Pelodiscus sinensis: one gene and its partners. The protein of the gene in region 1 binds, or shares a complex with, the protein of each later gene. Links are inferred from orthologs where the notes say so. Each region holds a gene or a part of one and is shown in the gene's direction. Other genes may lie near its edges. The genes, in order: POLR2F, POLR1H, POLR1C and ERCC3.

Region 1 (7,395 bases):
AATGAGAACAGCATTTGCAGTAACTCTGTCTAGCAAGGGAACTAGTTAAACAAGCTATGGAGCCTAATCCTTTAGCTGATCATCAATTAGGGGATCAGGATGGCATTACCCATGTGGCATAGTCATGTGGAATTAGTACAACAAAGGGATTTTATGTTATCTACTTTGGTTACAGTTGGAGGAGGGATACAGAACTAGGTTGTTATTTAGTATGTTGTAACACCCCTAAGTGTGCTTGAGTATCATGTAAAAATCCAGAGAGACAGATAGATTGGATAAGATAGGCACTTTATAGGAAATATATACAAGACAGGTTCCTGTCCTGAAAAGCTTATATACTAAATACTGGATAGGAGATGTAAGAATGTATCAGAGAGCAAGAAAGGGAAGGGTGATGAATGGCATGGGTTATGGTAATAGAATAATACTTTCAGTCAGTTTAGGCAGATACACATTCTAAACCACTGAACTGTATATATGGGGGAAAGGATACTGCCAAGGGGGCAGAAAGACTTGCCGGGCCTCTAGGCAAGGTGTGTGTCAGGCGCTCCAGAAAGGGCAGGGCTGGCATCAGCCAGTCCTTAGCAGTATATAGACTGTGCCACCCCTCCATCCCACCAGCCCTCAGAGCTATCAAGAGAGTGCTGTGCAGGACTCTGGCCACCATCACTGCTGTGAGCCCTGGGCCCTTTGGAATTGCCAGGCCCTGGGGGCAGTTGCTCTCTTTGCCCTCCTTGTCAGCAGGCCTGGGTGCTGCAGGAGTCTTTAGGAGTTAGTGAATGAGGTAAGGAAGAAGGAGAGAATGGATTTAGGAAGCGCATTCCAAGCATCAGGAGCAACATGAGTTACTAATGTTTTTTCTATTCTAGGTAAGTTCTTTTACCATCCTAATCACTGTAGTACCTGGGCACCTTCCAGTAGTGCATCAAATGATGTGACTAACATCTGTTAGATGTGGTTCATTCTCTCTTTCATCTTCTTCACAGGTGGAGGAGGAGGGGAATTGTGTGAGCAGTAGAGTTTTTTGGATTGTTTTTTAAAATGTGCAAACTGCTGCTATAAATGGAACAATGATCCAGTGAAGCGGGAAGCATGATACAAATTTAAGGAGGTGTGTGTCAAAGACCTGTTCACTGTTCTCCATTCAATCTTCCTTTTACCTTTCAACAGCTCTTTTGTTTCTTGTCCATACTGAGTTATCCCAGGAGAATGCCAGAAACCGGCTCCTTTTGGGACAGCTGGCACTTTTCTTCTTCCCTCCTGGGAAGACATTGTGAAGCCCTGTAAATGACAGTGAGGCCAGGAGTCAGTAAATCATATTCAACTTCTAATGAGTCAACTCAAAAGAACATTCTCTGTTCATGGCCCTCGATCATTCTAGAATCCCATTACTCAGTCTCTATTAATTCAAAGTCAACCTTAATACTTACTTAGATATAGCTAATCTATTGAAGCCTTGACCCCTGAAAAGTTACTGAGGGAATCTCCCATGCCCTCTTTTTATTTTCCTCTGTTGTGATGACAAAATTACTTCAAATTAAGAAAGGTGGTAAACCCCAGGAACGTACCAGTCATATTAACCACTACGTAGACTGGAATACCTTGACAACACAAATTAATGTGCTGTAATTTTAGCACAGATAGACATACCCAGACAAGTTTTAATCTACTGAGAGCAGGCAACAATGGTAGTGAAGCTGTGGGAGCATGGATTTTAGCATGGTTTGCAATCCAAGCATATACCAAGGGTTCCCTGCAGCCAATTAGTGCTAGGATTGTTAGCCTGCACTGCAGCCCATGCCACCATATTTTCACTGTTATGGTTACCCTGTAAGGTCAATTAAAGCTAGTGTGGGTATGCTTACCCGCACTGCAATTACACCTTTCTTTGCAGTGAAGCCATACACTGGGATGCATGAGCTCAACACATTTACATGCTTGATCTCAGAACATGACACTTCCTCTTCAGAGGGAATAACAGATTTGATGCCTGTCCTCAACCTGCTCCAGCACCCTACTTCCTGCCCAGACTCCATACCCCCACTTGCCTCTGCACACTACCACGTACCCAGACCCTGCACCCCACCCTACTCCCTAGCAGGCGTCTCCTGCACAATAATCCCCTCATTTTTAGCCCCACCTCAAAGCCTAGGGGCCCCCACAAAATCTACTAGCCCCAGACCCCCAGAAGAGTTAATCCAGTCCTGGGGGAGAGCCCTGAGCCTTGCCCCTTCCACAGGGCTGGAGTTTGAGAGGAACCCTGGTGCCCTGAGTTGCATGAGTGAAGGAAGTGTAAATTTTTTCTGCTGCTCAATTGAGGGCCACATCAGTTGGGGGGGGGGGGGGGAGTTGGCTTCTCACTTGTGTGTTGGTCCTTGACTTATTTTTCTGTGGGTCATTGGCCCCTGACCCAAAAAAGGTTCCCCACTCCTGCCATATATATCTTAATTTATGCTGATTTGGGCTGTAATCTTCAAGGACCTTAGCACTGTCACACATACAAACACATGGGCTGCGTCTAGACTGGCATGATTTTGCGGAAATACTTCTAACAGAAAAGTTTTTCCATTAAAAGTATTTCCGCAAAAGCACATCTAGATTGGTACAGATGCTTTTGTGCAAAAAGTGCTTTTGCGCAAAAGCATCCGTGGCCAGTCTAGATGTGATTTTGCGCAAGAAAGCCCCGATTGCCATTTTAGCCATCGGGGCTTTTTTGTGCAAAACAGTTCTTCCCTGTCTACACTGGCCCTCTTGTGCAAGTATTCTTGCGCAAGAGGGCTCTTTCCTGAGCAGGAGCGTGAAAGTATTTGCGCAAGAAGCACTGATTTTGTACATTACAAAGTCAGTGCTCTTGCGCAAATTCACACGGCCAGTGTAGACAGCTGGCAAGTTTCTGCGCAAAATCTTGCTAGTCTAGATGCACCAATGTACTTTCCCACTAGTCAACTCATCACCACAGGCTGATGGGGAAATATCCTTCTCCCTCCCCATGGGGTGCAGCAATGTAAGTTTATTTCACATCTGTGATACCACAGATGACATCACTATCCAGTTACATAGAGAAGATACCCTGCTCCACACACAGTGCAGTGCCCCAGTGGGATACTCCTCACACCTTGGCACAATGCAACAGGAAGCTGTCCTACCACCCCCACACTGCATTGCCACAGAACAGTTTTCAAACTATGAGTTGTGACTCAGTACTGGGTCATAGAATATCAGGCACTGGGTCTTGCTGCAGGGGGATCAGGTGATCAGTGGAGGAGCTAAGGCCTGCCCTTGCTCCTCCACTGCAGATTGCACTGTGCCCCAGAAGCAGCCGGCAGCAGGCCTGGCTCCTACGTGGGGGATGGGTGGCGGGAGGGCACACAGGGCTCTGTGAATTGCCCCTGCCCTGAGCACTAGCTCCGCACTCCCACTGGCTGGGAACCTGCTGCTGGCTGCTTCTGTGGCATGGCATGGTCTGTGGTTCCATGAGAGGCAGGAAGCTTGGTTTGGCACCCCCACTGTACTGCTAACTGAAAGGAGCTCAAAGTAAGCCTCTCCTGCTCCAGCCCTGACCCACCCCCAAAGCCTGGGCCGCCTCCTATACCCCAAAGCGCTCATCCTCAGTGCCACCCTGGAGGCCATACCGTACTCAAACTATGCTGGGTCGCAGGCATCAACAATTTTCTTCAACTGGTTCATGACAAAAAAAGTGTGAAAACCACTGACATAGATGACTGGTGCCAGTCGGGGGAGGGGTTGCAAGGAGGGCCTCCCAGAGGAACAGAGAGCGGGTATGGGGGGCACCCCATTTAGCAATTACAATTTTGACAGGAGCACCCCATGACTGCTACCGTGAGTCACCTATGATGCAATGCCATGAAACAACACCTACCCAGCCCATTGCGTAATGCAGTAGGATGATGCCCAGGCCCCCCAGAGCGATGCAATGCAGCAACACACTAACCCAACAAGGCCAGGCCCAGGACCTCCCTGTGAGGATGCCTCGTCATGGCCCCACTCACGCCCAAGGGTGCCAGGCTGTTAGGGGCACAGGCCCTCTCCCACAGAGGGGGTGCCCAGGCAGAGTCAGCGCCTGGCAGTGTAATGCCCCCTTCACGGGGGTCTCGCCACCCAGCGCCCAATGGGAGAGGACGCCTATAATACGGTGACGTCACACACGAAGCTGTGATGCAACTGATGGTTAGAATGAGGCGCCAACGTCATCTTCCAGTCTCCATGGAAACCCGTGCTGGTCCCTGATTGGCGGGCGGCCTGGGCCCAACCCGGAAGCGCGGAGATTCGGGAGTTCGCAGCGATTCAGTCGCTTCAGCCTACTCACCCGAATTAGCGCCTCCCGTTGCCATGGAGATCCGCTCCGCCACCCGCTTCCGCTTCCGCTATCCCTGACCCCGGAAGTCGCTGCTCGGAGAGCTCATCGGCCGCTCTCGTGGGTTGCCTGCTCCGTCGTCACCTGGCGGGTCTGCGGTTGGTGTCGCGAGAGTCTCGCGCCGGGCCGGAAGCATGTCTGACAACGAGGACAAGTGAGAAGGAGGCGCCGTGGCTGGGGAGGCGGGTCCGGCCCCGGCGGTGAAGGGCCAGGCCGCAGGCGGGTCCCGGCCGGGCAGGAGGCGGCCCAGGGAAATGGGGTGGAAGGGGATTCCGGGGCGGCGCGTGACAAAGCGGGGGGAGGGGCAGCGGGCCGGGAGGGGGGGGGCGTGGAGCCCTGCAGGGGAGGGGCAGCGGGCCGGGAGGGGGGGGGGGGCGTGGAGCCCTGCAGGGGAGGGGCAGCGGGCCGGGAGGGGGGGGGGGGCGTGGAGCCCTGCAGGGGAGGGGCAGCGGGCCGGGAGGGGGGGGGGGCGTGGAGCCCTGCAGGGGAGGGGCAGCGGGCCGGGAGGGGGGGGGCGTGGAGCCCTGCAGGGGAGGGGCAGCGGGCCGGGAGGGGGGGGGGGCGTGGAGCCCTGCAGGGGAGGGGCAGCGGGCCGGGAGGGGGGGGGGCGTGGAGCCCTGCAGGGGAGGGGCAGCGGGCCGGGAGGGGGGGGGGGGGCGTGGAGCCCTGCAGGGGAGGGGCAGCGGGCCGGGAGGGGGGGGGGGCGTGGAGCCCTGCAGGGGAGGGGCAGCGGGCCGGGAGGGGGGGGGCGTGGAGCCCTGCGGGGGAGGGGCAGCGGGCCGGGAGGGGGGGGGGCGTGGAGCCCTGCAGGGGAGGAGCAGCGGGCCGCGGGGGTGGGGAGGCAGCAAGGCTGCATTGGAATCTCCACAGTGGGGGTGTCTAGGCTAGGGGGTTTTGTCGACAAAACTCTACCTGCGTCTGTGCTGCTGCTGAGTTCTGGCCACGTAACGTTTGTCGAACTCAGCAGTTTTGTCGGTGGCTGTAAACCCCATTCTACGAGGAATAAGGCCTTTTGTCAACAGAGTTCTGTCGACAGAAGGCGTTATTGCAGCTACGCTGTCCTTTGCGTCTACACTGTCATGTCGACAAAGAGGTTTGCTTTGTTGACAGAACTGGATGTAGTCTAGACGCTCTGGGTACGTCTAGACTACACGCCTCTGGCGACAGAGGCATCTAGATTAGGCTACCCGGCATAGGAAGATGAAGCGGTGATTAAATAATCGCCACTTCATTTAAATTTAAATGGCTGCCACGCTGAGCTGATCAGCTGTTTGTCGGCTCAGTGCGGTAGTCTGGACACTCCGCGCTCGACATCAAAGGCATTTGTCGACCTCCCAGGTATGCCTCATGGGATGAGGTTTACCTGGGAGGTCAACAAATGCCTTTGATGTCGACCGTGAGCGTCCAGACTACCACACTGGGCCGACAAACAGCTGATCAGCTCAGCGTGGCAGCCATTTAAATGTAAATGAAGTGGCGATTATTTAATCACCGCTTCATCTTCCTATGCCGGGTAGCCTAATCTACATGCCTCTGTTGCCAGAGGCGTGTAGTCTAGACCTGCCCTCTTTGTTGACAGCATCTGTCAACAAAACTTCTGCCAACAAAAGCCTGTAGTCTAGACATACCTTGGGTGGCGGCAGCAAGTAGGTTGGGCTCTGGCTGTAGAGTGAAAAGTGACCTTCTGTCACCTGCAGCTTTGATGGTGATGACTTTGATGATGTGGAGGAAGATGAAGGGCTGGATGATTTGGAGAATGCAGAGGAGGTTAGTGCTCAAACCCTTCCTCCCCAACAGCTCTCTGCTTAGCCCCTGTATGGTTCACAATGCCTCCTTTTTTATACAGCATTTTCATTTTCCCCAAACCACTCTGAGTTCCTGTCCTGCTGGGAGCTAGTTACTGGGAATGGCAGTTGTCCCTATGATGGCACTGCAGGGTGCGGGCTCTTAGAGCACTTGTCTGCCATAAAAAATATGGAGAAAAGTTGTTCTTTCTTCCACAGAGGAAAGGACCAGAGGCAGTGGGTTCACAGTACAGTATAGCAGATTTAGATTAAGGAAAAACTTCCAAACAGTAAGAACAGCAGGGCAATAGAACAGACTGACTGGGGAGGTTGTGGAAGCTCCATCACTGGGCGTAACTGTCAGTCTTGGATGGTTTAGAACAGGGGTAGGGGACCTAAGGCCCCAGGGTTGGATGTGGCCTCCAGGTTGCCTGGATCTGGCCCCCAAAGCCCAGGGCTCTCCCCCAGCATTGGGGAGCCCTCGCTGATGCTCCAAAATCTAGCCTGGAACCCCATAGACTCTGGTGTGCAAGGGGAACGTGGGTCAGCGGCCCTCAACCCTAAAAAGGTCTTCCACTCCTGGTTTAGATACAACAAATCCTGCATCTTATCAGGGGTTAGACTAAATGACGCTGGTGGTCCCTTCTAACTCTGTGATTCTATGATCTTGATCGCATTGCACTCTACAGAGTGAGACACTAGGAATGGGAATAGAATCCAGGTCTTGGTAACCTAATATTAATCAGATAAATGCACTTCCCAATTGGATGTTTGGTTGTTCTTTACTCAAAGTACTTTTTTGGAATTCTGTGTAGACTTTTTAAACTTTGATTCCAAAGTCTGAGAAAATCTATTAAGGACGCCCAGCTCCTTCAGTATGCTTACAATAGCTTATATTCCTTTATTTCTTCAGGAGGGTCAAGAGAATGTAGAAATCCTTCCATCTGGAGAGAGACAACAGGCAAATCAGAAGCGGATCACGACTCCATATATGACCAAATATGAGAGAGCCAGAGTCCTGGGCACTCGTGCGCTCCAGATAGCGTAAGTACACTTGTTCCACCCCCAGCCTTGGCATAGGCATCTCATGGCATTTCAAAATGTTTTTTCCGTGTTTAAATTACTTTCTTACTATTCGTGATCTTCCATAGCTTTGTGGATTCTCCACCTGCCCTGCGAGGTGAGGTTCTGTATGACATCTGCAAAATGGAAATGGAAACTTGAGTCTCTGCAGCC
Region 2 (7,444 bases), on another chromosome or scaffold:
TTCCCAATGTCCAATCTTCCTGCATCATTTCTATGACAGACCCAGACCAGCTGGCTGCCGCACTCTAATGGAGGCTAGACATGCTGGGCTCTGGGTGAACAGTTTTCTCTTCCCTGAGTAAATAGGGCTGAGTCTAGTGCAGCTTAATCAGGAAGGCACCTGGGGCCAATTAAGGGCTTACCAGAAGCAGCAAGCAAATCAAGGCACCTGCAACTCATTAAGGCCTGCTGGGGCTTGGTGATAAGGGCCTCCCTGCAGGGAGAGCAGTAGGAGCCCAAGATTTGAGAGAGAGGTGTCTGAGTGAGAGCTGAGGATGGCGAGTAAGGCAGAGTGACAGGGAGGAGTGGGACTGACTAGCTCAGGTGCCAGAGGGAAGGCGCAGGGAGGGACCAGTTGAGGAAGCGGCTCAGGAAAGAAGCTGCCAGATTGGCAGCAGAAGAATATCCTGTCTGTTGTCGCTGCCTTAGGGTCCCTGGGCCGGATCCTGGAGTAGTGGGTGGGCCCGGGTTCCTCCCAACACTCCCCCACGCCACGACAGAGTGGAGAGAGGAGACGGGGACTACAGAGGGGTTTTCACCCCAAACTGTGGACTAGCCAGGACGGCTCAGTAGGCAGCGAGCCCTGCCTCTAGTAAAGAGAGAGGCCGTGTGAAGGGTCCCAGCATGCCTCTGAGGCAAACGCTGTCTGCCAGAAGTGTGGGACCCCTGGGGCATGGTCAGAGCTTTGCCACGTGTGCTCCGGGGCCACGGAGGCTGGAGCCACACGCTGGGTGGGGGAAAGAGAGGCTTGGCTCCCATGGGGATGGGGCCTGGGTAGAAGGGGTGAGACTTTGGGCAGGGCTGGGAGTGGGGCTTGCCTTCCCCAACCCTACCTACACCCACCACCCATGCTGGTATCCACATATCATCTCCTCATCCAATGGCCAATCCAGCAGAACTGTTCAGCAGCCTTACTTCCCTGCGCACAACACCACACGGCTTAAGGACCTCCATGCTAGGAACCTTGTCCCACCAGTTCACGTGGGCCATTGTCCAGAGGCAGTGCAGATGAGTTTCAAAACATGGGGCCCGTCAAGGCACCACATCTGGGTCTCAGTGTCACCTGCCAAGTGTCGTCCTGACTCTTAAGAACATAAGAACGGCCATACTGGGTCAGACCAAAGGTCCACCTTGCCCAGTGAGTAGTACATGGCTTGATAGCTCCATTTACTACTCCAATGTCCTGTCTGCCGACAGTGGCCAATGCCAGGTGCCCCAGAGGGAGTGAACAGAACAGGAAATCATTGAGTGATCCCTCCCCTGTCACCCATTTCCAGCCTCTGACAAACAGAGTCTAGGGACCGCATTCCTACCCATTCCTGGCTAATAGCCATTGACGGACCTAACCTCCATGAATCTATCTAACTCTTTTTTGAACCCTGCTAAAGTCCTGGTCTTCACCACATCCTCTGGCAAGGAGTTCCACAGGTTGACGGTGCGCTGCGTGAAGAAACACTTCCTTTTGTTTGTTTGAAACCTCTTGTCACCTGTGGTAAAACTTCCCTTGATGCTCTGATGCTGAACCGGTCACTGACTTTCCACTAAAAAAGTGGCGAGGAATCCTGTGGCACCTTATAGACTAACTGAAGTGTAGGAGCATAAGTTTTCGTGGGCAAAGACGGATGGGGCAACAAAGGGAAAAAGCATTTGCGGAAAATCATGCCAGTCTAGACGTAGCCTGGGTGTACACAAACATTACAGGCTGTCTTGCCAGGCACAAGCTATTGGGCTAGATGGACCTCTAGGTTGAGCCTGCCTGGGGAAACCTAATACAGTGAAAATGTTGTTATCCGGCACTTTGTTAACCGGCATTGCCCCCAGCCACAATACTGTCACATCTTCAGGCGCACACGCCTGGCTTGGTTTACCATAACTGGCTTCACAATTTTTTTATTAAGAAGTACTAATCATCTTTAACTCACAATAGAAATGTGAGACCAACTGCCTCACACTGCAAAACTACCAACATTAAAAACTTGAGTTTTACTATTGGGGTACGTCTAGACTACAGGCTTTTGTCAACAGAAGTTTTGTCGACAGATACTGTTGACAAAGCTTCTGTCGACAAAGAGCGTCTAGACTACATTCAGTTCTGTCGACAAAGCAAGCTGCTTTGTTGACAAAACCCTGTAGTCTAGACGCAACCCTACAGGCAATAACACCTTCTGTCGACAGAAGTCTGTCGACAAAAGGCGTTATGCCTCGTAAAATGAGGTTTACCAGCGTCAACAGAACTGCTGAGTTCTGTCGATGTTATGTCGACAGAACTCAGTGGTAGTGTAGACGCAAGTATAGTTTTGTCCACAAAAGTCCACTTTTGTCGACAAAACTCTGTAGTCTAGACACACCCTTAGGCTATGTCTAGACTGCAGGCTTCTTTCGAAAGAGGCTCTTTCGAAAGCATCTTTCGAAAGAGCCTCTTTCGAAAGATCGCGTCTAGACTGCAGGCGGATCTTTCGAAAGAGAAATCCGCTTTTTCGAAAGAGAGCACCCAGCGAGTCTGGATGCTCTCTTTCGAAGACGGCCTCTTTACATTGAAGAACGCCTTCCTTCGAAAGAGGAACTTTCGAAGGAAGGCGTTCTTCCTCGTGAAACGAGGTTTACCGCCATCGAAAGAAAAGCCGCGTTCTTTCGAAATAATTTCGAAAGAACGCGGCTTGAGTCTGGACGCAGGGGAAGTTTTTTCGGGAAAAGGCTACTTTTCCCGAAAAAACCCCTGAGTCTGGACACGGCCCTGGTGTCCATTGGTTTTTCCTAGGTTATTGGGACCCTCAGCTAACCGGAATTTTTAGATAATCGGAATGCTCTAATCCCCAAGCGTGCCGGATAACACAGGTTTTACGGTATATGGGCCCTGTTTGCATGCCTGACTTAAACTGGTCCTTGTTCACCATCTGAGAGTGCTCCCGGAGGGGAGAGGGGTCCAGCGGGTTAGAGTAAGGGGGAAACTGGAAGCCAGGACTCATGGGTTCTATCTGGCCCCTCTAGGGCTTTGGGTTCTCTGCTGGTCCCAGATGAGTGCCTGGAGAAGGGGATACAAAGCCCTAGCACCTCTTCTAGCACTGAGTGAACTGCAGATGCTTTGGCCAAGCCTTGCAAGGCCAGCCCTACCACGAGGTGAACGGAAGCGGCTGCCTCAGGTGCCAGACTGGGGGCGGGCACCACTAGGACCCAGACTGTAGAAAATTGTGTCTGCTGCTGGTGAATATGTATTCTCTCTGCTCTAGACGCACAGAGACGGTGGAGTGCTGTGCTGGAGGAAGGAGGGCAAAAGAGAACTTTCAAAGTTTTGGCCCAAGCGAGGGGGCATGGGGGTGTCATTTGAGCTCCCCGCCTCAGGTGCCAAAATGTTGTGGGCCGGCCCTGCAGCCTTGACCCAGGGCCTGTAGACAGACTGAGCCAGGGTCAGCCCTGAGAAGCACTAAGGAAAACTGGGAGCCCGTGGGCCAAGTTAGCACAGAGCAGCAGGGTGGGAGCGAGGGGTAATGGCCAAGCAGGGGGTGTGGACACAGGGGTTGTGGGTCTGGGCTTGGGAGGGCACTGGCAGAGCTGGGGGGAATGAGACTGGGGGACACTGGCTGGGCTGGCAGGGGCTGTGGGTCTGGGCTGGTGGGGCACTGGCAGGGCTTTGGGTCTGGGCTGGGGGCACTGGCAGGGCTGGCAGAGGGTTGTGGGTCTGGGCTGGGGGGCACTGGCAGAGCTGGGGGAGCTCAGGGCTGGGGATTTGGGCTGGGGGGCACTGGATAGGCTGGCAGGGGCTGGAGGGCTGGGCTGGGGGGAACTGGAAGGCAGAGCTGGGAGGAGCCCAGGGCTGGGCTGGAAGGGGGTTGTGAGTCTAGGCTAGGGGGCACTGGCAGGGCTGGGGGGAGTGCAGGGCTGTGGGTCTGGGCTGGGGGGCACTGGCAGGGCTGGGGGGAGTGCAGGGCTGTGGGTCTGGGCTGGGGGGCACTGGCAGGGCTGGGGGGAGTGCAGGGCTGTGGGTCTGGGCTGGGGGGCACTGGCAGGGCTGGGAGGAGTGCAGGGCTGTGGGTCTGGGCTGGGGGGGCACTGGCAGGGCTGGGGGGAGTGCAGGGCTGTGGGTCTGGGCTGGGGGGCACTGGCAGGGCTGGGGGGAGTGCAGGGCTGTGGGTCTGGGCTGGGGGGCACTGGCAGGGCTGGGGGGAGTGCAGGGCTGTGGGTCTGGGCTGGGGGGCACTGGCAGGGCTGGGGGGAGTGCAGGGCTGTGGGTCTGGGCTGGGGGGCACTGGCAGGGCTGGGGGGAGTGCAGGGCTGTGGGTCTGGGCTGGGGGGGCACTGGCAGGGCTGGGCTGGGGGCCAGGAGCGAGGGGCACTAGCAGAGGGGGTGCAGGTGAAAGGAGGGGGAGGGGCTGGCAGCTGTTCCATTCCAGCTGCTGAGCCCCAGCCCCTGGCAGGGGGGACACTCTGCCTCGCCCCGCCCCTTGTCTCCACTCCTCTGGAGGACCAGCCGCTCTGTCCCCCGCCCGGCCGGAGTTGTCTGCTCCGAACGCTGCGACACGTGTGGGGCCGGGGAGCCGCGCAGCGCAGCGGGGAGGTGCGTGGGGGCTGGTTTGGGGGCAGGGACCTGCCCTGTGTCAGGAGGCGCGGGGGGAGGGGGGTTACGTGGTACCACTTCGGGATTAAAGGGGGCAGCGAGGGGGAGAGTTCGTGTGATGGGGTCAGCGTGGGGGGAGGGACAGCGTGGGGGCAATAGGAGCAACGTGGGTTCAAGGGGGAGGGGTGTGGGGGCATTAGGAGCAGCGTGGGGGGGAGGGGAAAGGATGTGGGGGCATTAGGAGCAGCTGGGAGGGGGCTTGTGCAGTATTGGGAGGGGCATGAATTGATGCAGATATGCCCTGCTTTTGGCCTCCTGTGCAAACCCATCCCTCTGTTTTGTGTGTGTGTGTGTGAGAGAGTGTGTGTGTGTGAGAGAGTGTGTGTGTGTGTGTGTGTGTGAGAGAGTGTGTGTGTGTGTGAGAGAGTGTGTGTGAGTGAGAGAGAGTGTGTGAGTGAGAGTGTGTGTGTGAGAGAGTGTGTGTGTGTGTGAGAGAGAGAGAGAGAGTGTGTGTGTGAGAGAGAGTGAGAGAGAGAGAGAGTGTGTGTGTGTGAGTGTGAGAGAGAGAGACCTGGCTGAGTCCTACAACCACCGCTCAGCTAACCTGGGGCTTTTCTCCCAGCCATGGAACAGGACACTTCCTGCTTCCAGTCGGACCTGGATTTCTGCCCCGAGTGTGGCACCATCCTGCCCCTGCCAGGCATCCAGGACAAGGTGACCTGCATGCGGTGCTCCTTCTCCATCAACATACGAGGTGAGGGCGGCACATCCCACATGTGTGCTGGCATTGACCTAAGGGAGGGAAATCCCCCAAGATGGGGAGTGTGGGCTAGTGGGTAGAGCAGGGGGGTGGGGCCTCTGGGAGGGAGTGGGGTCTAGTGCTGGCTGACCAAACAGCGAGTCTATAGAGTGCGTTCGCTCCGCTCTCTGATTCGCCAGTTCCCCAGTAATGCCTGTGGCTCTCCTTGTGCAGATTTTGAAGGAAGGGTGGTCCAGTCGTGTATTGAGGTCAACAGGCTGGGCTCCATGTCTGTGATGATGCTGGATGATGGGCAGGAGGTCAGGGGACCAATGGTGAGTGGGGATTTCTGTAGGAAGGTGGGAAGGAAAACACACATCAATAGTCTAACATCCTGCAGCAGGGAGTCCCACCAATACACTATCACCTGATTTTGACTTCTTTCCCTTTTATGCCAGTGGTGGATTTTATTTTGATTTTTTTTTGTGGGAGGTAGGAGGGAATCTTCATTGTATGGATTTGATTCAACCTTGGGGATCCTTTCAGATTGACAGGAAGTGCCCCCGCTGTGGCCACGATGGCATGGTGTACCACACCCGGCAGATGAGATCTGCGGATGAAGGACAGACCGTCTTCTACACCTGCAGCCAGTGCAAGTAAGGCACTGTCCCTTCCCTATTGATCACGTTAGAAGGGAAGAATGGGAAATTTATCATCAATCGGGAAGGAAACCTAGATCTCAGCTGTCTGTCCTCATCAGTTAAACCAATCTGGAGTGTATCTTGAAAGGCTGCCCCCCTAAAAAACACAAAAACTCCCAGGAAAAAAATTAGCTGCGTATTCTTGCTATACAAGGTGTACAATGTTCTCCTGTAAATTGAGCACGTGGGCAGCCACCCAGAGGAGATTCAAATGCTGCCCCACTGACAAGCAGACTGCCCACAGGTAGATTTGTGTTTCTCTTGGTGATGCACATCTGCACATTCCTCAGTGCATGCAATAAAATTTATTCCACACATTGATGGAAAAAATTAGAGGGAACATGGCACACAGCATGTCCCCAAGCATTTCAGCCAGAAATATCTAGAATGATTTTGCAAGTTACCAAATACGTCACTTAAATCCAGACACACGCCCCCTCCTGTTTGTTCCAATCTCTTAACTTGCTCTATACCTTTCCTTATCCTGGTTGTGGATATTGGCAAGAGACCGCTCTGGCTTGCATCTCGATTTTTCACAGGTTTCCTATCTGCTTATGCCTAATGCTCGTTAAAATCCTGTTTAAAATGTTAACCAGTTAAACTGTGTTTAATCTCCCTTTCCCCCTCCCTTTGCGGCACCGTGCGCCTAGTCAGGAGTGGGGTGCTCTGGATGATCAGTTAATCAGTTACCCCAGTTAGCATTTTAATAGGGGTGGAAGGCACCCCTGGTTAACCGGTTACCCCTTTACACCTCTATTGCAGGGTATTGTGGGAAGTTGCTTAGGTTTTTCCCAGAGTGCTGTTCACTCACACTAAGCCAGACAACACTAGGATGTGGTGTATGCCGACCTAATGGACGTGCGTTGGCCAGCGACAATGGGGATGTGTGTGGGGAAACTGAGATTTACCGATTACACGCATGCGCACACATGGAACCTGGCTCCATGTAAAGTCTTTCAGCTTGTCTACAGTTGAACCGTTGTAGTGTACAAGGTGTACATCAGTGTGTACTGCCTATGCTGCAGCGGGGGGTGGGGCCTCCCCACGGCACAGGTAATCCACCTCTCCGAGAGGCAATAGCAATGTCAGTGGAATAATTCATCCATCAGCCAAGCACTGGCTACACTGAGATTTAGGTAGGCTTAACTATGCTCCGCTGGGGGTGGATTTTTCACACCCTTCGGCGATGTAGCTGGGTCAATCTAATTTTCCAGCGTGGAACAATTCACACAGTCCTGCTGCATTCCTTTGAGTTGCCTTTCTTTAGATCTTAACTACCTGGTCTGCCTGTTGTGTGCTGTAACTCATCAAAGTAAATGGACAAAAGGAGTAAAGTGGGAAGGCGAGTGGCCTCTATATCCCTTACAGAGACCCTCCTGTGGTCACCCCCAAAAAGCAGATTATGGGGGATCTC
Region 3 (7,253 bases), on another chromosome or scaffold:
ACAGTGAAGAAAAGGACAGAGAAGACATCTCACAGAACAGATACAAGCCAATCGCTACCCCCTCGCCAGCAGATTCCCCCTTGCCTTTGGCAAATGTTTAGCTAATGCCTGCCTAGCAGCATCCAGAGAGGGAGGATCAGTGATACAGTGCTAAACTGTATAGCACAAGAGGCCTGCAGAAGTGACCTCAAGTAGGTAATTCTGTCACGTGACAGATTTTAGGGATGATCTTGTGTGACATCACCACAGAAAGCCTCCATGTCCTAACGTTTTCTCTATCAGTAGATGAGACTTCAGTAATAAATACAGGTATCATAACATAAAACATGCATAACTCAGTTTAAGTTTGGCTTATAAAAGATAAATAGCAAAGTACATCCAAAACTCACATTTAGTCAGTAAAAAAGCCCAAAGGTGACACACAATAATCTTTACAAGTTTTAAATAAAAGCAGTGCTTACAGGTATGTTCCAGCTATATTTGTAGTGCTGCCCCATAAAACTAATTTAACTGGCTGATCAGACCAGCTTGACAATGATTTTCCATCCAGCTCCAACTTATCCTGACAGCCCTCACACACATCCCACTCCCAGCAGTGCCCAACACCTTAGCCCCCCTAGCCCCCCACTCACCTCAATATACTGCCCCCTCCACAGCTCCATCACTCTCAATCCCACTCACAACTCACCCTGGTACCTTTCTAGCCACTCCCTGGTAACCCCCAGTACAGCATCCTGTTCCTGTCCCAAGCTAGGGTGGCTCCTCCCAATCCTCACCATCCAGTCCTGGATTTCTGATGCAGGGGTGCATCTCTGGAATGCTCCAGCTGCACTACACCCTACGCTAGTTCATCCACTGCAATAGGCTTTTTCCCACTTCCCAGACAGCCCCAGAATAGGCCCTATCACACATCAAGGTTCCTGTCACCAATGCATTTCTAAGTCACACTCAAAATAGAAGCACCCCATGTAACTGACAGCAGTTCAAAGCCTGGTGCCAACCTGATTTGAAACTGAAATATTCCCTTACAATTATAGTGTCTGAAGTCTTCATCCCATGCAACAGGATAGCCACCAATGTGAAGACCAGCATAAGGGGGCCGTAGAGCTCACCTGCAATCTTCTACAAGGGTGACAGAGAAGAGAGGGGTTTGGTTAGTGCTGCAGAAAGCCAGACCACATTCAGATTACCTGGGAAGTACCCCAGACTTAGCTCATACTCTGGTCACTTGCTGACCTGAGCAATTATACAAAAGGCTGGTGATAGCTACCAAAGAGAAACAATCACATAAGTAAGACTTGAGGAAGAAGCTTAACAGAGTTATTGAGTCAGATCAGGAGCTAAAGTCATGCTTGTCCCACTGCAAGAGACAGGTACAGACGGGGTGTGGTACAGTGGGAATTAACCAGAAAATCTAGCAGAGGCACCATACAACAACATCTCTCTCACACAATTCATACATAATCAGTCACCCTGGCACATGCATGGCAAAGTGCTTTAACTAATTCCCTACTCTGGGAGAGGGGGGCAGAGAAAGAATGGAAGGCAAAATGAAAGGAGTCTGAGTCAGAGCCCAGGGTAGCCTGCTTTCAGGCCCAAGACAGCTGTAATTCACTTCTTGACAAAGTGAGCAAGAGCTGTCTGTAGCACTGTGTCAGCAGCACTTTGCTGACAGGCTTATTCCTTAGCAAACTGACAGTTTCAGAGAGCATTGAACTTGGAGGTGAATGTGAGTAGAGGGCAGGGCCCGATTGTCCCCTTGGTGCTGGTTGGAATTTCTGAACTCCCCTCAGGCAAAGGTGTGCAGCCTACTGATAGAGAGATGTGTGTGTTAGAAATATTTAACAACCGATTAAGTGCTCCTGTACTTTCTAAAGCGCATTTACTCAGGATATAGAATAAAAGCTCTCCACAGTGGAACTCACCTGGGGAAAATTAATCATCTTCATGGGGATCATGGATTCCAGCAGTCTGCACCTCACAGAAATATCAAGAGTGAGGAAGGAAATGAAAAAGTTAACAAGAAACCCAAGAAGCAGGAGATGCTGTATTCCATTCCCTGATCAGTGATACAAAGCTCCATATCTCTTCCCCTCTGACCCTCAACAAAGCCAGCCAGTCCCACTAACAGCCAGGCACCAGACTGGAAACAGTGCCTTAGAGGGGAAGAGGATTTGTATTGCAATCCTATCCCCCTGTGCACAAACAGTTTTCTCTGCCTGGTGTCCCGAGAGCAGGGTGACACCATGGCTATTATAAAGGAGATGTGCAAAGTGTTGCACTTGTGGGACAGATGAGGTTTTGTAGGGCTATGTATGCCCTTTCCCCACACTGTATGCAAGAGCAGTAACAATGAAAGGCTAAAGGAGCTGCTGGTTCAGCTCCACAAACCCTGTATCTTACACTTAGAATGGCAGCACTAGGCTATACATGAAACAACATGCATCTCAGGATGAACTGAGGGTAGCCCTTTAGGAATAATGAAGGGTAAACAAGGGAGGATCCTGGACAAATTTCCCCCAAAGGCTATCTCCATAGCAAGTCCATAAGCAGACGTGGATTAGTTAGGAGCTATCCAGGTCTTTATTATGTGAGAAACAGTGGGAGATGCTCCTCACTTTATGGCATGACCCTTCTGTCCTGTTCAGGTTGCATCTCTACCCCGTTATACTGGACCAGGAATACATGACAGGCCTTTCACAGTACCCCATGAAGGGGCCATAGTAGTGGACCGGGCTGCTCATACGAGGATGCGAGACTGAGATAACTGCATGGCCTAAGTCATTTGCCCCTGTGCTTAGTTTGCTCACCTGTTGCGAACCTGGATGGGCTCCACATCAAAGTAAGGTCTGAGAATATCAATGTTGGCATAGAGATTGAAGGCCTTCGACGCTTGTCTCTTACCTGCCTGCCACATCTGGGGAGAGAAATCAGTAACTGTAGCAGACTAAACATTCCCTTTGCAATGCCGTTCTGAGGCGCATCTCCTGGAACCAAAGCATCCAGTGGCTAAATAACCAGAATGAAAATTAAACATCTTTGGAGTGATCAGCATCCCATCCAAAGCCTAGGGGAAAGTAGGACAAAAGACATCAAGCCCAGAATGGGACTCAAGCTGTAGCACCCAGAAACCAAAGGTGAGATAGCTCAGGGTCATATTGGAAATGGCTACCTGGACCTAAAATGGGACTCAACATCTATAGCTCACTACAGTCAGAGCCAGACACAAGAAGGCAACACAGCCCGCCCCCCATCTCTTGCAGCGCTCTGCTCACCTGGTCAGCTACTTGCCGGCCCAGCTGTCCCTTAAAACCCTTCATGCCCAGGAACTCTCCATCCTCCTCGTCTGCCGCAGCAGCTTCTGCATCCACCTCCTCCTCCTCCTTCATGCGCTGGTGCATCTCGCCCATGTCCTCGAAGCTGGAGCCAGACGTGTCGTCCATGTTCTCCATGTCGATCACAGCGGAGCCGCCTCCCTGCGCCCCAGGGCAAAGGGTCGGGGAGTCAGGCTCAGCGCCAGGGCCGGGGAGCGCCCGTCCCAGCGCCGCGGCGCCCGCAGCAGGGCAGGCGCCACCCTAGCTCCCAAGCCGGGGAAGCGCAGAGCCGGGGGGGGGGTGTTGTGTTGGGGGGGGGCACAGCAGCGGCCCGCACCGCTGACAACCGCAGGGCCCCCCCGGCTCCCCCCTCCTCCCTGCCCAGCCCCGCACCTGCATATTGTCCTCGAAGCCGCCCCATTCCGCGGCGCTCCCGGGCCTGCCGCCGCCCGCCGCCGCCCCCCCGGGCCCGGACATCCTCCCCGTTGGCTGGGGGCACCGGGGCCCCCGGCCGCTCTGCGCCTCACTGCAGGGGCTCCGGGGAGCCTAGTCTGGAGACTGACGTGACTGACGTCAGAAGCCTCGGCAACTTCGGCCGAGGACGTGGATGCGCCTTTGCTCTCGCGAGATCTCATACTAGCGACCAGGTCTCGACGCCATCTTGGTTGTGGCATAAGAGCGAGCATGAAGGCGCCTCTGGGAGAAGGGTCTGGGGAGAGCGGTGCCTTATTATCAAGACAGCGTCAACCCAGCGGCGAAGACCCACAACCCCGCGATAGCAGTAGTGGCTGTTTCTTAGGTCAACGCCACACCCAATATGGTGAAGACCAAGTCGGGCTAAGGCGCCGGCGCCGCCAAAGCGGAAGGAAAGGTCCGTATCACGTGACAGGGCAGTGGGTATTCACTAATGCGACTGCGCAGAGAAGAGCCGGATTGTGGCCGTGTCACGTGCTGGGGGCGCGCCAGGAAGATGGCGGCGCGCGGCGGCGTGGAGGAGATGCGGAGCCGGGTGATACTGGGGGAGTTCGGGGTCCGCAACGTGAGTGAGTTGGGGGCCGCGCGCGAGGCAGGAGGGGGCCGGGCGCGCGCCCGGGTCTTGGTGAGCGGCGGTTGGGGGCGGTTTGCCCCTGGCACGCGGCCCCTGCTTCGCTCCAGCTCGGGGCTGGGCTGGCAAGATGCGGCCCCCTGACAGGGAGGGAGTCTGGCCGCTTCCTAGTCGCGCCCTGTGGCCCTGACCCCGCGTTTCCAGGCGCGGCTCGGGCAGAAGGCTCCTGTCCAAAGGGCTCACGAGCTGTGGTGCTGCCCCGGCAGGGGCCGGAGCCGCGCGCCCTTTAAATAGATGCGGTAGCCGGGCAAATGCAGCAGCAGCGTCGGGAGCCCTTGAAGTTGCCGCTGTTTAAAGGGCCTGCAGCTCCCGGCCCTGCCGCTTCGTGTTGCCTGGCGGCCGCCCGGGACTCCCGATCGCAGCACTGCCCGGCAGGGGCCGGAGCCGCGAGCCTTTCCAATGGCCGCAGCAAGCCCGGGCGGCTGCCGGGCAACGTGGTGGTAGCAGCAGGGCCGGGGCCCCGAGCCCTTTGCGGTGTTTTTACTTCAGAACCTCCAGCCCCAGACAACTCCGGGGAGAGGCGAGTCCCCAGTGTCTCCCCTTTTGCCCCAGGCCCTGCCCCTTCTGGCGGAGGGGGGTTGAGCCAGCCCATGACTAACATTCATGAAGTGGCCCACCCCCAAAAATTACTGCCCACCTCTGCTCCAGGTTCACACCACGGACTTTCCTGGCAACTACCCTGGCTATGACGACGCTTGGGACCAAGCCAAGTTCGAACAGGTAAGAAGCCACTGGGGACCCTTAATGGGGGGAAGAAAGGGGGTCTGAGCAGGCAGGGGGCAGGGAACCAGTGTTCCCTCTAAGATATTTTCCTTCCATGAGCGAAGTGAGTTTTGTCTTCTGTGCCTATAATGAGGTCACGTGCACTTGTTCGGATGTGTGTCACCATATCCCCCACCAGTGGTGATACTTCTCAAGAGACTCTCCCAGCATGCAGACCTGAGCTCTGCTCCCAGGGCAGACTCTGCCCCCTCGCTGCTCTTCCCCAGGCTGGCTGAGAGTCCCTGCCTGAGGCTGAGGGAAGCTGCTGCCAGTGCCCAGGGTTTGCAGGGAATTAGGTGCTGGGGCTGGCAGGAGGTTGCAGGGGTAGGGAACTCTGAGGGGAGAAGAGACGTGTGGGGGTGGGAAGAGGGATGAAGTGGGCCCCAGCCCCAGGAACAGCCTCACCACAGCCCAGCTCCAGCCTTGGCCTCAGGAACAACCGCTGCCCAGCAACCCGGCTCCAGCTTCAGCAGCCCACCTTTCCCCTGCAATATGGCTTGCCCAGGAAGCAGCTGGGCAGCCACTACACAGCCCTGGCAACAACTCCAGCTCTGGGGAAGGTCAGGAGCAGGCCCCAGCCCCTGAAGCAGCCACCCTCCATGCTGCCACATGGCCTGCCGTGGCCAACAACTTCAGCTGTGGGGAAGGGCTGGAGCTATGGTCAGGGCTGCATGGTGGCTGCCCAGCTGCTTCTTAGGTGGGTTATGTCGCTGGTAGCTACCCTGTGTACCGGGGCTGGGGCTGGGGCTGGAGCTGGCTCCAGCACCAGCACACAGGGCAGCTACCCACCATACAGCCTATCCCAGGAGCAACTGGGCAGCCACCATGCAACCCTATCCCTCCAGTCTCCCACAGAGCCTACCGCCAGCAGCTTACCTTCCAGTGGCTCTGATGAAGAGGTGGGCGGGCTTCAAATTCTTTGTGCACGCCTGTGCAGGCATGCACCCTAGAGGGAACTTAGCAGGGAACCTGTGAGGGACCAAGGCCTTGCAAGCGGCGGGGGTTGGGGGGGGAGAGACATTGGGGTCTCCTGTGGCTGGCCTCTGCAGCCCCATAGCAGGTGGCCATTAGCCACCTGCTCAATACCCCTCTGCACCTGGCAGCAGCCAACAAGGCTGAGCCCCTCCTCGTGAATTGGTACCTGGTGACTGCTCCCTTGCGTGTGCCCTACAGAATTTCCGGGTGGACGTGATCCACATGGATGAGAACACGCTGGAATTCGACATGGTGGGGATTGACGCAGCCATTGCTAATGCCTTCCGGCGCATCCTGCTCGCTGAGGTACCCACAGAGGCTTCCGGATCTTCATGCCAGGGCTGCATGACCCAGTTGCTAGTCCCATCAAATCCTGTCATGTCTTTTCTCACTGCTAGACCTGGCTAATGTTGAGCATCTTTGCGATAGACAAAAAATGTATCCTAACCTTCTCTTTCTCTGCCCAGAAGCTAGATTGTGTTAACTGGTAAAGAAGTTTGAAGGCAGGCCAGCTGGGGCACTAGCTCCTGGGAGTGTTGGGGGGAGTGAGACCCAGATCTTTGGAAAGGTGAGATTGTGACTGAAGAGTATAGAGAAGGCAGAATCTCCGAACTCAGTGAGGTGGAGAATAGGCTTGAAGTGCACTGAGGATATTCCATGGACTACAGAACTCAGTGTGCTCCAGGTAGTACAGTCTTTGACCCTGTAAACTAGAAGTTTATGTAATGAGTTTGTGTAAGAGAGCACCAGTGCTAAAACAGAAATTGTTGCATTTCTAGGATGAGAAGTATAGTCCAGCTGCTAATAGCTATTAAAGAGCCTATGCACAGATCTATGTCTCTGGTATAGGGCCATGTTCTACAACTGCTCATAATGGGTAATACTAAATCCTATTAAAGTTAGTGGTAACATTCAAATTATTAGCAATTACACAACACAGTTATTGGGAGGGAACCAGCAAACAGAGAGAGGGAAAGTGGTAAAAGCAGGGAATGAAGAAGATACAGGATCCTGATCTAGATCCTCCTTTGGTGATGGTATCTGTGAAGGGCAAGAGTTTGACTTACTCCAAAGAGGGTGGGGTGGAGCAAAAAAAC
Region 4 (7,842 bases), on another chromosome or scaffold:
TTTGCATACATAATTCCTTCCATTTTGTTTTGGGAAAAAAAATTTATAATAGTTCAGGGTACATTTCTAATTGAGTTAAACTGTCCTTTTGTTGTCCTGTCTCTTTTGGTAGTGCCTTTTTATCTCTATGCCTTAATTTTGTTTAGGTAGAGACACCATATTTAAATCATATGGCTGTCTAATCGTTTAGTGCCACCAAAATAGTCTTTACAAATATATACGAGGCTTCAAAACAGAACTCACTAATTGCATCAACAGTTTTACTTTAACTGTAGCAGGCTTTTAGGCTGAGAATTTACTACAGTGTTAAAATGATAAAAATACTTAGCACCTACAGTGCTCTCTCTGTTCAGAGTACTGTACAAACATTCCAGCAAAGAGGTTAATGTTATCCCCATTTTACAGATTGGAAAACTGAGACAGGATAGCTATCTTGCCCAAGAACTATAATAAAAAGGAAGTTGTTTTGCTTAAAAAGGTACAGCAGTATTTTCTATCTTAACAAATGAGAAAATAGTTCAACTGAGCTACCTTTGTTTGAACTGATATTGTTTTCTGCTTTTAAATAATCCTAATCCTGCCATTGTCTTGAATGAAAGCTTTCCTGGGAGAAGCAGAAGGTACACAGTGCAGTGTAGTAAGCCATTCCTTCAGGCAACATTGAGCAATGTCAAACTACAGCTTCAGAGACTTAAACAAATTGGTCAGATCTACAGTTGTGTAGAACTAAGTTTGTTAGCTTTTTAATCTTCTAGTTCTTTAAACTATTATCATGAATATAAAAAAGTATATATTGTGTGGTTGAATGCAAATCCATATGGTGTTTTTTGGATTAGCAAAGGTGTTACTGCCAATACCATTTCTTACCCCCTGGGAACTTCCTATCTTGTATTCATGACAAGTATGCAGTGTCAAATCATGTTAAAAAAAAAAAAAAAAAAAAAAAAAAACCCAAAGCTTTTCTATCCCCTCTCCAAAAGCCAAAAGTGATGTTTCATAGATTAGTACTGTTACTCACCCTTATCTACCAGAAAGCTATTGCTAAATAGACTAAACCAGGTACTAGTAAAAGTGAGATCCAGCAATGCCCATTTTTTAAGATAGATTTGGATGCTTGTTGTTGTTGCTTTGAGGTGCAAAATTCATTCCAGCATTAAAATGAAAAGCTTTGAACTCTACACAGTCTTATTGACATCACTAACATAATGCAAAATTTGGTGACTAAATTTCTTTCCTATGATTTACTCCTTATAACCAAGTTTGAGTTGGGGGGAATTTAAGGAAAGCCATGAAGTAAAGTAGATTTGTAATCTGAACTGCTTGTCGTGCCATAGCAAACAACTTCTCAGAGGTTGTTGGGGGAAGTAGTCCTTTTAATTTAAGAGCCAAATTTCACCCCCTAGAAACATGGGACTTACACTGCCCTAAGGGGAGAGCCATGAATGTACACTGGAGGGAGCAGAATTTTCCTACCCAAGATAAGATTTCTAAGTCAAACTCTGGATCAGGAACAAAGAGTACTCTGTTTGGTTTGTGTGTTAAATTTTCTCTGACATTACTTCAGTATCTTTTTTGGATCATACTTTACGTTCTACCATTAGCAGTACCTTGGCAAAAATTGGTAGCAACAAAAGGTGTAGTTCAGTTGAGCTCTCATGTACTGAAAGGACAAAATTCAGTGAGCTCATTTTGACTAGCTCTTTTAAAAGGAGAGAAAAGACTGGATAAAAATTAGTGAATTTTTGACCTGATCACTCAGTCATGTTGGTGGAACTCCTGCTAGTAAGGATTGCAAGACCAGACTTCTTGTGTGGAGAAGAGAAGAAAAAAATGTGGGTTTATACTGAATGTAACATGGGGAATATTTCAGAAAGTTTGGCATCTTTTTTCCCTGTAATAGATCTTCTCTTCCTCCATCCCCTGAGAATATAAACGTGGATATAAAAACAAGCATTACATTTTTTTCCTGTCAGTTTTACAATAGTTAGCTTACTACTGGTCTAAATCTGTCATTCATTTTAAAATGTAAATGATTTATTAAAACTTAATGTCTGCCATCTCAGATGTCACACAGTTCATTTAATGGAATATCATTGTAAATAAATGTTGGAGACTTAGATAAATTTGAAAGTAGGCTTTTTAATTTTCACAATGCTATGAATAAATGTGTAAATTTGCCCTTTTAATCTAATGTACATTTTTTATGTAGCTGTTAAATTCTCTATATTTAATCTATCAGTTTCTCTCTGTAAATGTTTTTACTCTCAGTTGAATGCTGGGCACAGTTTGTAATGTATGTACACAAAGGTGTTTTTTTCTATCAATGTTGACTTTTTTGCACATTTTTTGAAAAAGTTTAATTAGTACACTGATTTAATACTCTGACCAATTGATGGGTGTATGAGAATCACGTATGTGTGCAATGTACTACTGTCTGGATGTGTTTTTTATTCCTTTTGAGATGTTGCTATCAGTAACTGCACTGCTGCTGTTGCTGCTTTAAATGGAATATCTTATGTAAAAGTGTATTAGCCTATGGTTATATCTTGGTTGAGGAACTCAGGAGTTGAGCATTACTTACTAGTTCCATAATGTATCTAGCAACTTTCCAAACTTTAAAGTGTACTTGTAATTCTGCGTATGAACTGAATGTGTGTGTGCGTACACATAAATATGTTCCAGCAGTCTTATTCCACAGTTTAATTTCTACATTTTTATGAACTTGTTTTTAAGGGTACTATGTTTAGTTAGAATAATTAAATATATAAAAGCTTTGAGAGATAATTTACTAGATAAATATATTTTCAGCTGGCTGATGTTCAGAAAATATTTTTTTAATTTTGTTTTTAATCATTCAAAATGTATTTGTATTTCCAAAATTGGACATGAATTGTACTTAGAAGTATATTAAAGCACTCTGGAGGGACAACAGTGTGATTTCTCTAAGAATTTTGTTAAAAAAACAAACCCAAAATGCTTAGTGTCAGTGATACAGAGAAAATAACTGTTGTGAAAAGGGGAAAGCAATCTTTGACTTCTCAAAGCTACTTGAAAAAATGTGTGAAAACAAAATGAACCTTGGAAAAGTCAGATTTTTTCCATCTCTTGTCCTTTCTGTTGCATGTAATGTTAATGCTTCTCTTTCTTTACCCTTTTCCCTTTCCAGTTTTCTGGTATTGGAAAAGATAAGCATGTTACTATATCGCTGATTGACTGGCACATAAGAAGTTCAGAACATGCTTTAAAAATGTGGCTTACTCCTTTCAAGAATACCAGTCAAACTTTTGACTTCCAATTTGTTTAACATTTTTGTGGCTTAAAAAATAAAAATCCTGTATGATGTTTAAAGTGATACCAAGTAAAAATTCTCATGCTAGGTACACAGTGCACTGCTGAATGTCTCTAATTCCATAGTTTAGGAAAAGAGCCAGTATACTCTGTTAGACACAGGACCTACTAATTGCCTGGTACGTGTGGTTTCTTCCACTTTTCATGCACATTTTGACTTTGTTACATTCTCAAAATTGTGCTTGTAAAAATGTATAAACTTTTTTGATTTTTTTTTTTTACTTTTGTATGTATTTACCTGTTTTTTTTTCTTGCTGGTAAATGGCTTTTATTTTGTTTGGGGTTTTTTTTGTATCTGATGTTAAAAGAAGCCATGTTTATATTTTGTGTTTGATCAATGACTTTGTTTATATGAAATTTGTATATTACTGGTACACATCTTTGTTTAGGTTGATCATGCATGAGAACCTGCAAGAATTAGCACAATGAAAGATTGCTTTTTCTTCCAAATTTTTATTCATTTTTGAAAGGTTATGGTGCAGAGGTTTACAGGATGTAACCTTATGAACTATGGAACAACTATAGATAATGGCACTTTGAGTGTTAATAAAATATTTATTTCCAGTTTATATTTCTCTTGATTTGTCTCCAAGACAGCAAATATATGTATTCACATATTACATTTGCTTGCAACACTAGACAAGTAACATATCTTCTAAGTAAAGCAAAATATAACATGCAAGTAATGGTACCAAAAGCATCTGTCTACACCCAAGCTAGAAAGTTTAAATCTACAACAGTCCTCTTTTATAGATGTGAAAAACCCTCCCTCATGCTGTAAAACAAATGCCTCTGATTTTTTGTTACACAAAAATTCACCCTGCCCCCCTGCTCTTGTGCAAGATTTACAGTAGGGCAGCAGAAGACAGGGCTTCTTGTGCAAGAGCTATGCTCTTTTCGGACAAGTGTAAGCCTTCTTGCCTAAGAGGGCAGTGTGGACGTATGGCAAGGGTTTCTTCTGCAAGAAAGCCCTACAGCTAAAATAGCTGTCAGAGCTTTCTTGCACAAGAGCTCGTCCACACTGCCATGTGCAAAGCTAGACCTGTTCTTGTGCAAGAACCTACCAGTGTAGATGCAGCTGAAGTGTTAAAATACCTGTTTTTATGACTTAAATCGAAGAACCATGGCCCTGATTGGGCAATTTTTTATGCATAGTCACACTACTAGCTGTGTAGGAAGCTCCGCTGAAATGGGCGGGGCTGCAGCAACCTGCCCCTGGCTCCAGCGGCGGGATTAGCATCTGCTACCCGCATTGGACGTTTCTGATTGGACCCATCGTTATTGCGAAAACGCGGAGGGGCGGGACCCGCTCCCCCAGGTGTTTATGACGTGGGAAGGGGGGGCGGGGCCTACCCCCTAGGTGTCTATGACGAGGGGCGGGGCCCACTCCCCCGGGTGTCTGTGACGGGGGAAGGGGCGGGGCTCGGCCGAGCTGGGAGGGGCGGGGCGCCAAGGGGGCCGGTCGCGCGCTGGCCGTTAGAGCGCGGGAACGGCGGCGGCGCGCGCCTGAGCCCGCCCGCCGCGGCGCTGGAGCTGGCCCCTCCCCCCCCCCGCGGTGGCCGTTGGCCCGGCCGGCGGGCGGGGCCCCGCTCCGCGCAGGTGGAGTGTCAGGCCGGTACCGCCGCTGCGATTGGGCGGGTGACGAGGGAGGGCTACACGGGATGGGCGTTGCTAGGTGACAAGCTGGGCGGGTCCCCGTGCCGGAAGTGACGCGCAGGGCAGGCGCCGGGCCCAGCGGTGGTCGCGCGGCTGGGCAGTGACGGGCCCGGGACGATGGGCAAGCGCGAGCGAGGTGAGAACCCCCCCCCCCCCCGGGGCGCCGGGCCGAGCGGCGGTACCTGGACCCCCCCCCCCAGCGGCCTGGGCCTCCGGACCTGAGCCTGTCGGGGGGTGGGGGTGTGTCGGGTGTGGGGGGGGGTGTCTGGGGTGTGTGTCGGGTGGGGGTGTGTCGGGTGGGGGGGGGGTGTCTGGGGTGTGTGTCGGGTGGGGGTGTGTCGGGGTGTGGGGGGGGTGTCGGGGTGTGTGTCGGGTGGGGGTGTGTCGGGTGTGGGGGGGGTGTCGGGGTGTGTGTCGGGTGGGGGTGTGTCGGGTGTGGGGGGGTGTCTGGGGTGTGTGTCGGGTGGGGGTGTGTCGGGGTGTGGGGGGGGTGTCGGGGTGTGTGTCGGGTGGGGGTGTGTCGGGTGTGGGGGGGGTGTCGGGGTGTGTGTCGGGTGGGGGTGTGTCGGGTGTGGGGGGGGTGTCGGGGTGTGTGTCGGGTGGGGGTGTGTCGGGTGTGGGGGGGGTGTCGGGGTGTGTGTCGGGTGGGGGTGTGTCGGGTGTGGGGGGGGTGTCTGGGGTGTGTGTCGGGTGGGGGTGTGTCGGGTGTGGGGGGGGTGTCGGGGTGTGTGTCGGGTGGGGGTGTGTCGGGTGTGGGGGGGGTGTCGGGGTGTGTGTCGGGTGGGGGTGTGTCGGGTGTCGGGGTGTGTGTCGGGTGGGGGTGTGTCGGGTGTGGGGGGGGTGTCGGGGTGTGTGTCGGGTGGGGGTGTGTCGGGTGTGGGGGGGGTGTCGGGGTGTGTGTCGGGTGGGGGTGTGTCGGGTGTGGGGGGGGTGTCGGGGTGTGTGTCGGGTGGGGGTGTGTCGGGTGTGGGGGGGTGTCGGGGTGGGTGTCGGGTGGGGGTGTGTCGGGTGTGGGGGGGGTGTCGGGGTGTGTGTCGGGTGGGGGTGTGTCGGGTGTCGGGGTGGGTGTGTCGGGTGTGGGGGGTGTGTGTCAGGGTGTGTGGGGGGGTGTGGGTGGGTGTCGGCGGGGGTGGGGGTGGATGTGGGTGTCTGGGGTGTGTGTGGGTGGGTGCGTGTGTCTGGGGGCGCCTCTGTGCGTTTCTGTGCATGCGCCTGCCTCTGGGTGCCTGTAGCTTTCTTCGCTAGGTCAGTATCCGAGGAGGAGCCCTGCTCCTGGATCAGCAGAAGCGGCGAGGAGTCCTGTGGCACCTTATAGACTAACCGCAGTGTTGGAGCATAAGCTTTCGTGTGCAAAGACTCACTTCGTCAGATGCATGCAGTGGAAATTCCCAGAGGCAGGTATAAACATGCAGGCCAGAATCAGGCTGGAGATGACGAGGTGGATCCAATCAGGGAGGATGAGGCCCGCTTCTAGTAACTGATGTGGAGGTGTGAATACCAAGGCTGTGTCCGGACTCAGGGTTTTTTTTTTTTTTAAAAGTAGCCTTTTTTCGAAAAAACTTCACCTGCGTCTAGACTGCAGCTGCGTTCTTTCGAAATTAAATCGAAAGAACGCGACTTTTCTTTCGACAGCGGTAAACCTAATTCCACGAGGAAGAACGCCTTTTTTCGAAAGTGCTCTTTCGAAAAAAGGCGTTCTTGAAAGCAAACAGGGCTTTTTAGAAAGAGAGCATCCAGACTCACTCGCTGTTGTCTTTCGAAAAAGCGGCTTGCTTTTTCGAAAGTTCCGCGTGCAGTCTAGACGCTCTCTTTCAACAGAGGCTTTTTCGAAAGTATCTTTCGAAAAAAGCCTCTTTCGAAAGAGGCTTGCAGTCTAGACATAGCCCAAGAGAGGAGAAGCTGCTTTTGATAGGATTAGGATGACAAAAGCAGCTTCTCCTCTCTTGGTATTCACACCTCCAGATCAGCAACTAGAAGTGGGCCTCATCCTCCCTCATTGGATCCACCTCTTCTGGCCTGCATATTTATACCTGCCTCTGGGAATTTCCACTGCATGCATATGACCAAGTGGGTCTTGCCCATGAACACTTAGGCTCCAACACTTCGGTTAGTAGATAAGGTGCCACAGGACTCCTTGCCACTTTTGATAAGATAAGGAGTCTTGTGGATAAGGGAGAAGCAGTGGATGTGGTATACCTAGACTTTAGTAAGGCGTTTGATACGGTCTCACATGATATTCTTATCAACTAGGTAAATACAACTTAGATGGGGTTACTATAAGGTGGGTTCATAACTGGCTGGATAACCGTACTCAGAGAATAGTTATTAATGGTTCACAATCCTGCTGGAAAGGTATAACAAGTGGGGTTCCCCAGCAGTCTGTTCTGGGACCAGCTCTGTTCAATATCTTCATCAACAATTTAGATATTGGCATAGAAAGTACGCTTATTAAGTTTGCAGATGATACTTAGCTGGGAGGGGTTGCAACTAATCTGGAGGATGTGGTCATAATTCAAAATGATCTAGACAAATTGGAGAAATGGTCTGAGGTAAACAGGATGAAGTTTAATAAAGACAAATGCAAAGTGCTTCACTTAGAAAGGAACAATCCGTTTCACACATACAGAATGGGAAGCGACTGTCTAGGAAGGTGTACAGCAGAAAGGGATCTAGGGTTCTAGTGGACCACTAGTTGAATGAGAGTCAGCAGTGTGATGCTGTTGCAAAAAAAGCCGACATGATTCTGGGATGCATGAACAGGTGTGTTGTGAGCAAGACATGAGAAGTTATTCTTCCGCTCTACTCTGAGCTTGTAGGTAGGCCTCAGTTGGAGTATTG

What was found.
Region 2: POLR2F (region 1) and POLR1H share a complex: the UniProt entries of both Homo sapiens proteins name them as parts of the pol I pre-initiation complex. The link is inferred for Pelodiscus sinensis from reciprocal best matches to the Homo sapiens genes POLR2F and POLR1H.
Region 3: POLR2F (region 1) and POLR1C share a complex: the UniProt entries of both Homo sapiens proteins name them as parts of the pol I pre-initiation complex. The link is inferred for Pelodiscus sinensis from reciprocal best matches to the Homo sapiens genes POLR2F and POLR1C.
Region 4: POLR2F (region 1) and ERCC3 share a complex: the UniProt entries of both Homo sapiens proteins name them as parts of the TBP-based Pol II pre-initiation complex. The link is inferred for Pelodiscus sinensis from reciprocal best matches to the Homo sapiens genes POLR2F and ERCC3.

Annotation. Positions count from the first base shown.
Region 1 is NC_134711.1:92,139,049-92,146,443, reverse strand, and holds the start of POLR2F (DNA-directed RNA polymerases I, II, and III subunit RPABC2), read left to right. Parts: upstream 1-4,395; 5' UTR 4,396-4,509; coding exon 4,510-4,529; intron 4,530-6,072; coding exon 6,073-6,142; intron 6,143-7,072; coding exon 7,073-7,203; intron 7,204-7,395. Other genes in the region: C1H22orf23 (UPF0193 protein EVG1), read right to left, coding at 1,161-1,281, 3,881-3,889. UniProt on the Homo sapiens protein: DNA-dependent RNA polymerase catalyzes the transcription of DNA into RNA using the four ribonucleoside triphosphates as substrates.
Region 2 is NC_134742.1:11,063,676-11,071,119, forward strand, and holds the start of POLR1H (DNA-directed RNA polymerase I subunit RPA12), read left to right. Parts: upstream 1-4,442; 5' UTR 4,443-4,590; intron 4,591-5,212; 5' UTR 5,213-5,214; coding exon 5,215-5,344; intron 5,345-5,563; coding exon 5,564-5,664; intron 5,665-5,875; coding exon 5,876-5,985; intron 5,986-7,444. UniProt on the Homo sapiens protein: Core component of RNA polymerase I (Pol I), a DNA-dependent RNA polymerase which synthesizes ribosomal RNA precursors using the four ribonucleoside triphosphates as substrates. Can mediate Pol I proofreading of the nascent RNA transcript.
Region 3 is NC_134713.1:139,251,530-139,258,782, forward strand, and holds the start of POLR1C (DNA-directed RNA polymerases I and III subunit RPAC1), read left to right. Parts: upstream 1-4,252; 5' UTR 4,253-4,284; coding exon 4,285-4,353; exon of another isoform or gene 4,354-4,357; intron 4,358-5,067; coding exon 5,068-5,139; intron 5,140-6,354; coding exon 6,355-6,462; intron 6,463-7,253. Other genes in the region: protein YIPF3, read right to left, coding at 1,030-1,122, 1,926-1,971, 2,811-2,917, 3,276-3,476, 3,708-3,791. UniProt on the Homo sapiens protein: DNA-dependent RNA polymerase catalyzes the transcription of DNA into RNA using the four ribonucleoside triphosphates as substrates.
Region 4 is NC_134717.1:3,276,384-3,284,225, forward strand, and holds the start of ERCC3 (general transcription and DNA repair factor IIH helicase/translocase subunit XPB), read left to right. Parts: upstream 1-4,825; 5' UTR 4,826-5,121; coding exon 5,122-5,140; intron 5,141-7,842. UniProt on the Homo sapiens protein: ATP-dependent 3'-5' DNA helicase/translocase. Binds dsDNA rather than ssDNA, unzipping it in a translocase rather than classical helicase activity. Component of the general transcription and DNA repair factor IIH (TFIIH) core complex.